2 linked regions of the Callithrix jacchus genome follow. The protein of the gene in region 1 interacts with the protein of each later gene in a pairwise test. Links are inferred from orthologs where the notes say so. Each region holds a gene or a part of one and is shown in the gene's direction. Other genes may lie near its edges.

The links.
Region 2: the proteins of CTNNAL1 (region 1) and RNF135 interact in binary tests that used the Homo sapiens proteins (3 or more experiments, as listed by UniProt). The two-hybrid records come from large-scale screens. The link is inferred for Callithrix jacchus from reciprocal best matches to the Homo sapiens genes CTNNAL1 and RNF135.

Annotation. Positions count from the first base shown.
Region 1 is NC_133502.1:157,345,455-157,349,367, reverse strand, and holds part of CTNNAL1 (alpha-catulin), read left to right. Parts: intron 1-1,256; coding exon 1,257-1,457; intron 1,458-3,681; coding exon 3,682-3,768; intron 3,769-3,913. UniProt on the Homo sapiens protein: May modulate the Rho pathway signaling by providing a scaffold for the Lbc Rho guanine nucleotide exchange factor (ARHGEF1).
Region 2 is NC_133506.1:101,969,509-101,974,164, reverse strand, and holds the start of RNF135 (E3 ubiquitin-protein ligase RNF135), read left to right. Parts: upstream 1-1,595; 5' UTR 1,596-1,621; coding exon 1,622-1,990; intron 1,991-4,168; coding exon 4,169-4,312; intron 4,313-4,656.

The DNA of each region.
Region 1 (3,913 bases):
ACCTTAACATAAATGATATGTGGTCAATATGACTGATTTTATGTTTTAATTGTTTAAATTCTCAAATTCTCAGATCCCCATTGTAAATTCCATACCTTTCTATTATCCATATTCTTTCCTAGCTTAAATACAAGTTTCTGTGTACCTAGGATAGAAAACTTGTGTACCTGAAAACTTGGGCCAAGAGGAGGAGGGGAAGCAAGGACTCTTCTATGGCGTCTTGACCTTCCCAAACTTTGGTATTCTCATGGATCATGTTAAAATGGGTCACGCATAAGGATTAATTAAAATAACTTGTGAATGGACTTTAAAGTGTTAAACAGATGTAAGCTATCCTTATCATCACATTCATTGTGACCGTAATCATGATCATTACCGTTTGTTGCCTCTTGGTCCAAGTTGTCTGTGTGATATATTTCATGCACTGTAGAGTTTTATATGGTTGAAATGGGGTGGTGCATTTAGAAAGCTGAGAGAGAAAGACTGCACATGTGAACATGTGTTCATCACATAGTCAAGAGTCACAACTCCAAACAGGGTGGCTGGAGTGAAAGGTTATTAGGGGATTCAGGGGGTGAGATGGACTGTTAGAGGGTATATAAAGACAGGCCATAGAGGATTTTGTGCTATGCCAGAGAAGTTTGGGCTTGATTCTCTATAGATGGTGAGGAGCTATTAGAGGGAGGTGGCAATATCAGATGCTGGTAGAGCATGTTTGGGTCAGTAAGGTGCTACTGGGGACTTAAAATACAGGGAGACCAGTTAGGTGATGAGGAGAGTCTTCGTTGAATTAATGAAGGAAAAATGGATGCCTTCCCCAGTCCTTCTCACACCCCACATCTTCCACACCATCCTTCCCCCTGGGCTCAGCACATTTCATATTTGGGTGTAACATATATTCCAGGACTTTGCCTAGGTATTTTCTCAGATGCAAATCTTTTACCTGGAGGCTGGTTCATTTTTCCTACTGGTTGCTACAGGATGATCCTCTTTCTGCCTTAGCATTCACTGATCTTATAGGAATGTCATTGTATTAATTCTGTACAAATTATGCTTTGCATGGATATTGAAGGCTTTTGTGCAATGTGCCCTCCTGGGTTAGTGGACAATTTAGATATGTTTGGTGGCTGTATTTCTCCTCAACTTGGGAAATAAAATGCTAGTGTCTTCTTTGGCACTGTTAGAATTTACAGCCCATTTTGGTCAGGTGGGAATATTGACTCCCATGGATGGATGGATGTCCTTTTTGTTCTCAGATTAATATTGAAGCTCTTCGGGAGAATCTTTATTTTCAGTCCAAAGAGAACCTTTCTATGACATTGGAAGTCATCTTGGAGCGTACAGAGGACTTTACTGATTCTGCCTACACCAGCCATGAACACAGGGAACGGATCTTGGAACTGTCAACTCAGGCGAGAATGGAACTGCAGCAGTTAGTTTCTGTGTGGATTCAAGCTGTAAGAACTTTTTTAAAAATCAAAGTAAATCTTATATAATGGCTTTCCCGTAAAGTTTTGCAAGATATGGAAGCTGACATAATCATCAGGAGTATGAATTTGGTCCAGAATGGGACAGGATGTCTCATCCCTTTTCTCCCTCCTAGTTGGCCAAAATATCCTTTTTATCTAGCACTCACAGTACTTGACATTATTTCTAGGCCCGCTGATTCTTATTTTAGCCAATCTGGATCTATGCCTCTGGCCACTATCACTAGTTCACTCTGTTGTCCCCACTCTTACACCAAACTCACCGCTGGAAAATTCCTCCCCAAAATGCTTCTTCAGAGTGAAGAACAGAGGAGTAGACCCCCACCTAGAGGTTCTTGGGACCCAAGTCTGACTGCTGGAGCCATTCAGATGTACACAGCTCTTACCTCTGAAGACAGCTGATTTACAGACACAATGCTTTAGAAAACTTATTGGGGTATAGATGCAATGAAAACAAGGGTAGATCCAGCTGGCAGGTAAAAGATTTTTCACCCTTGCACAAATTCCTGGTCTAAAATTGGTGGGCGGCTGCTCTATGAGCTTTAAATGGGCTGCTGGTGTGCTTCAGAGGAGGTTATTTGGGCAAGAATGGCCAAGACTGATAGAAGAGGGACAGCATAGGAAGTGTGTACACAATCTCTTATAGCAGGTGGGTTGCAAAATGGAGAGACAGAGCACTGGGACATGTCTCTAGCATTATTTATTTCTGAGGCCCAGGCTATGTCAAAAAAGTATTTAACATGGCATACAATATGCAGCAGCAATAGTACAAATCTGGAAGTCATGTCTTTAGCAGTAAAGATGATGAAGGAGGGTGGATATGGCTGAGACTGAAACAAGAAGCAGCAGTTGATGTCCTTGTAAATAGATTAATTTATGAGTGAAAATTGATGTGTATCACAGATTTGTCAGATATTTTCTTGGCATCGCAATAGTGCACATGTTCATATTAACAGGGAATCTTGCGCTAGAGTGGTGTCAGAGACTTGAGCAACATTTTGTGTTTAGCTTGAATTATCTGTGTGTTACACAATCTGAAGTGTAGACTGCTTCAGCGTTAAATTTTAAGTCCAACACTCACTATAAAGAGTTTTTTGTGATGAAATACTCTATGCTGGGAATGTGATTCTATCAATACTCAAATTTGCAATTAGCGAATGTCATAAATTTAGCAAATTTACCCTGTGCATATTTCACAAGCACTCAAATCTCTGATCCTGCATGCTAGATGAATTTTTCATTCATTCATTTTTTTCAGCAGTTGTTACTGGTGCCTTTTATATGCCAAGCACCAGAAATCTAAAGATGAATAAGATAAAATCTTTGTCTGCAAGAATTTTACGGTGTAGAAACCTGTGGGAAGGGGTGAGAGAAGCACAAACAACTTTGTAAATATCTTAAGAGAAGGTGTAGACTATGCGTTGAGAGTGTTTGAAGGACAAATTTATATTTAGGGAGAGGACTCAACAAGGCTTCATGAAGTACTGATATTTAATTTTTATTTACTCATGCAAATAATCGAATATCTACTACCTACCATTTCCTATGCCAGGTACTGTGGATTTAGTGGTGTGCAGCATAGATGTGAACTCAGCTTTCGTGGCCTAGTGGGAAAGATAGACTTTAAAGACACAAAAAATAAAAAATTCCCAGATGGTTTGGACTGAAAAAAATAAATAAATATGTAATTGCAAGCTGGGATGATTACTGAGAGAAAAGATTAGAGTAAGAAGAGGGTCTGATTTAGATTGAGTAATCTGAAAAAGCCTTTCTGAGAAAAAGACATTTATGTAAGAACTTAAAGACAAGTAGGATTTTAATTTTTAAGTAGGTTAGGAGTGAAAGCATGGACATTCTAGGCCAAAAATAAAAGGTTAATTTTAGACTTGATGAATGTATTAAGGAAAATTAAATAGAAAATTAGATTTTAAAAGTTCACCTTTCAATACAATCCATAGGTTCACAGAAAAAACAAAACAAAACAGTTCACCTATTTATAATTAGCATTGAAGAATGTAACTAAACTGAAACTTTATTTTCCACTGTAACTTTAAACAGGAAAATTTTAAAAATCTGCTTTTATAGTTCACAGAATAATATTAAAATTTATTACAATTTATAGTTCAAGTAAAATTGAAATTAACAGATTCAAGAGATGCGGTAACATTACATATATACTTTTTCAAATTTTTAGCAAAGCAAGAAAACAAAAAGCATTGCTGAAGAACTGGAACTCAGTATACTGAAAATCAGTCACAGTCTTAATGAACTTAAGAAAGAGGTAAGTATAGTTTGAAATTTAGCCTCTTCTAATTCTTTGCTAATTTTCATGTTGTATGGGTGTATGAAATGCATTTGTATTAGTATGTCTCTGTGCCTACAAAATGATTTTAAAACTTTAAAAGTTTCCTTTAAGGCCAGGCATG
Region 2 (4,656 bases), on another chromosome or scaffold:
AGCTTCACGAGTAGCCGGGACTACAGGCATGCACCTAGAAGACTGACTTTGTTTTTTTTTGTTTTTGCTTATTTATTTTTTGAGACAAAAGTCTCGCTCTGTTACCCAGGCTGGAGTGCAGTGACATAATCTCAGCTCACTGCAACCTCCACCTCCCAGGTTCAAGTAATTCTCCTGCCTTAGCCTCCCGAGTAGCTGGGACTACAGGTAGGCGCCACCATAGTAGAGAAGGGGTTTTACCATATTGGCCAGGCTGGTCTAGAACTCCTGACCTTGTGATCTGCCCGCCTTGGCCTCCCAAAGTGCTGGGATTACAGGCGTGAGCCACCAAGCCTAATCTTGTTTTATTTTTAGTAGAGATGGGGGTTTGCTATGTTGGCCAGGCTGGTCTTGAACTCCTGACCTCAAGTGATCCAAAGGTCTGCTACAAACTTGTATTATCTGATACCTACTTTGAGCTCCGGTGAGAAGGGGTAAAGCATGAGGCATTAAAGCATGAGGCATTGTTAGTTCATTTCAACATATTGGGGAGTTGTGGGTTTTAGTCTCTGACGCCTCACTGTTACCATGCGAGCTTAGAAGTTCCATTACCTCTTTGGGTCATCTGGGAGGACTTGGTGCTCTTTTAGTTCTAACATTTTCTGCTTGCAATGCGCTTAGGACTGGAGTAGGAGGTGAGTGAGTGGGAGAACGCAAACGCCACAAACGCCAGGCGAGCCATCTCAGGAAAACACTTTTTAGTATTTTGTCCGCTTGTCTGTCGGGAAACGCGCTTACATCCCGCAGAGGGCAGTAAGGACACAGCGCGCAACTCTGCTTTATAACTGCGCGTTAAAAAGCCTTGAATGCGCGTCAGAATCATGTAGGGGAGGTTTTATAAAAACCCGTGCTCCGCCCGAGACAATGAAATCAGACTCCCTGCAAGCGGGACCCGAACATCAGCATTTTTGAAGACCCCCACCCCCACCCCCGCCGCCGCCACCGTGACTGTGCACCGATGATCTTTAATCCCCTGCTACTTGTTAGAGCAGCTACTTATTAGAGGATGACACCTCGCGGACTCATTCTTACAAATGAGCTGCTGAATGGACTCCTTTCCTCCCAAGAGTTGTCGGTGTTGCATCTTTTTGTTGATTGTGTGTGTGTGTGTGTTTTGCCTACAGCACCCGGTATTCTAAGGCGGTCTCCCATCCAAGTACCAACCAGGCCCGACCCTGCTTAGCTTCCAAGATCAGACGAGATCGGGCTCGTTCGTATTTATATTTTTTTAGCCTACGGAAGAAGACATCCAATGGCGCTGCATCTTAATGGGGGCACATCCAGCGAAAGGGAATCTTGGAGACATCTGCGGGTTCCTAGCGGCTGGCGGCAAGTGGGTTTCCGAGGGCAGGGGGCCGCCACCGAAGGTCAGCTCTGCCATTCGCGCTGGGTTGTGGAGGATCAAAGTCCGCTTTCAGCAGGACCGGAGGAAGGAGACTGGGTGGCCCCAAGGGAGGAGGGTAAGAGGCAACCGAGAAGAGGTGGAGGGCCGGGGGAAGAGGAAGGGCGAGGGAGGAGCCTGAGGAGATGCGGCCCACATTGGGCCGGCTAGACCCAGACGTCCGCGCCAAGCCTGGTCGCCATGGCGGGCCTGGGTCTGGGCCCGGGCCCTGCCGTCCCCGTGTGGCTGGCAGAGGACGACCTGGGCTGCATCATCTGCCAGGGGCTACTGGACTGGCCGGCCACGCTGCCCTGCGGCCACAGCTTCTGCCGCCGCTGCCTGGAGAGCCTGTGGGGCGCGCGGGCCGCGGGTGGCCGCTGGGCCTGCCCCACCTGCCGGGAGGTCGCCGCGCAGCAGCCGCGGCTGCGGAAGAACACGCTGCTGCAGGACCTGGCCGACAAGTACCGCCGCGCCGCGCGCGAGCTGGAGGCGGGCCCCGACTCGGCCCCCCGCCCCGGCCCCGGCTCCTGCCCGGCCCCCAGGCCCCGGCGCCGCGGGTCACTGCCGCGGGTAGGGAGGCCGAGCTCGCAGGTCCCCTCGCGCCCCCGGGCTGCCCCCCTTTCCCTCTGGCTCGAACCCCCTTCCTCAGCCGTTCTACTTTTACGTTCCTTTTCTCAATCTAACAGTCGACTCCCGCTCTTAGGAGGAACTTTGAAGTTCAGAAAAGTATGAAGAAGCAGGAAAAAAAAATTCCCCATCTCCCGAAAGCCTGTCAACCTAGCAGCTATACGCCTTGGCATATTTCAACTTCTTCCCAATCTATTTGCGGTCTCTTTCTCTCAAAATTGTAAAATTGTGGTAAGATGCATGTAACATTAAAACTTGCCATTTTTGCCTTTTTTTTTTTTTTTTGGAGATGGAGTCTCTCTGTCACCATGCTGGAGTGCAATGGCGCGATCTGCTCACTGCAACTCCCGCCTCCCGGGTTCAAGCGATACTTCTGTCTCAGCCTCCCGAGGAGCTGGGATTACAGGCGCACACCACCGTGCCCAGCTACTTTCTTTTCTATTTTAGTAGAGACAGGGTTTCACCGTGTCACCCAGGCTGGTCTCGAACTCCTGAACTCAGGCAATCCTCCCGCCTCCGCCTCCCAAAGTGCTAGGATTATAGATGTGAGCCACGGGACCGGCCTCATTTTAACCATTTTTAAGTGTATAATTCAGTGACAAATTAGTTACATTTCCAATGTGCAAATAACACTGCTGTTTGCAAAACCCTTTGATGACCATAAACAGAAACTCTGTACCCATTAAGTAGTAACTCCTCATTTTCCCTCCCTCTAGCCCCCGCTCACATCTAAGCTACTTTCTGTATCTGAGTCTTCCTGTTCTGGTTATTCATATAACTGGAATCATTCAATGTCTGTGCCTTGTTTCTTTCACTTAGCATGGTGTTTTCAAGGTTCATTCATGTTGTAGCATGTGTCAGACTTTATTCCTTTTATGGAGGCTGAATAATATTCCACTGGGTGGATGTGCCACATTATTTATTTGTTTTTTTGAGATGAAGTCTCGCCCTGTCACCAGTGGCACCATCTTGGCTCTGCAACCTCTGCCTCCCGGGTTCAAGGGATTCGCCTGCCTCAGTCTCCCGAGTAACTGGGACTACAGGTGCGCACCACCATACCCAGCTAATTTTCGTATTTTTAGTAGAGACGGGGTTTCACCATGTTGGCCAGGGTGATCTCGATCTCTTGACCTCGTGATCCGCCTGCCTCAGTCTCGCAAAGTGTTGGGATTACAGGCCTAAGTCACTGAGCCCGGCCACATTTTAAAAAATCCATTCATCCATCCTTGGACATTTGAATTGTCTCCACCTTTTGGTTACTTGTGAATAATGCTGCAGGGAACATTGTTGTGCAAGTATCTGAGTCCCTATTTTCCATTCTTTTGGTATATACCTAGGAGTGTGATTGCTGGATCATATGGTAATTTTATGTTTAACTTATTGAGGAATGGTTTGTTTTCCACAAGGCCTGTACCTTTTTGCATTCCCACCAGCCATGTACAAGGGTTCCAATTTTTCCACATTCTGCTGACTACTTATTTTCTGGATGTTTTTGTTTTTCTTTTTTAGCATAGCTTTCACACCTTGGTATAGGCATGAAGTGACATTTCATTGTGATTTTTTTTTTTTTTTGAGATGGAGTCTCACTCCAGGCTGGAGTGAAGTGGCACAGATCTTGGCTCACTACAACTTCTGCCTCCTGGGTTCAAGCAATTCTCCCTGCCTCAGCCTCTAGAGTAGCTGGGAGTACAGGCACCTGCCACCACACCTGGCTGATTTTTGTATCATTGCCAAATCAAGTGTCATACATTTTGCCCTGTGTTTTCTTCTAAGAGCTGTATTATTTTAGGTCTTACATTTAGGTCTTTGATCCATTTTGAGTTAGTTTTTGTGTGTAATGTTAGGTAAGGATCCAACCTTATTCTTTTGTGTGTAGATATCCAGTTTTCACAATACAATGTGTTGAAAAACTGTCCTATCCCCATTGAATGGTCTTGGCACCTTTGTCAAAAATCATTTAATCATATATATGAGAGTTTATTTCTGGGTACTCTATTCTATTCCATTGGTCTATATGTCTGTTTTCATGCCATTACCACAGCATTTATGACTCCCTCTGTCTATAGTGGTTCCTGGGTCCAGTTTTATAGAACCCATGAACTGAACTTTGCTGTTTTAAAGGTGGAAGTACAGAAGAGCATCACAGAAGTTGGTCAGGAGCTGACAGAGCTGGGGGAACGGCTTGTAGATATTGTCAGGAGCCTGCAGAGTCAGAGGCCCCTATCAGAATCTGGACCAGACAATGAACTGAGCATCCTGGGCAAGGTAGGCTCCGCTGGGAGAGGAAAGGATCTGGGAGGTGAAAGGGCTAGGGATTGCTTTCAACTGAAACGACATGAATGTGTTTGAAGCTGAAGGATGCAGTAAGTCTCAACCTTTTATTGTTCTCTTCACTACCAGACATGGATGATTGGATATTTGGTATGCTTGAGGTAAGGTTCGGAAGCTTTGAGTGGGCTAGGATCACTCCACTTAACCAGCTATCTCTAAGATCACCAATGACCTCTGTGTAAACCCTGTAGACATTCTGATGCCTGTCTTCACTGACCTTTCAGCAGCCTTTGACATAGTGGACCCCACCTTCATTCTTAGCTTTTGGGACAGCAGTC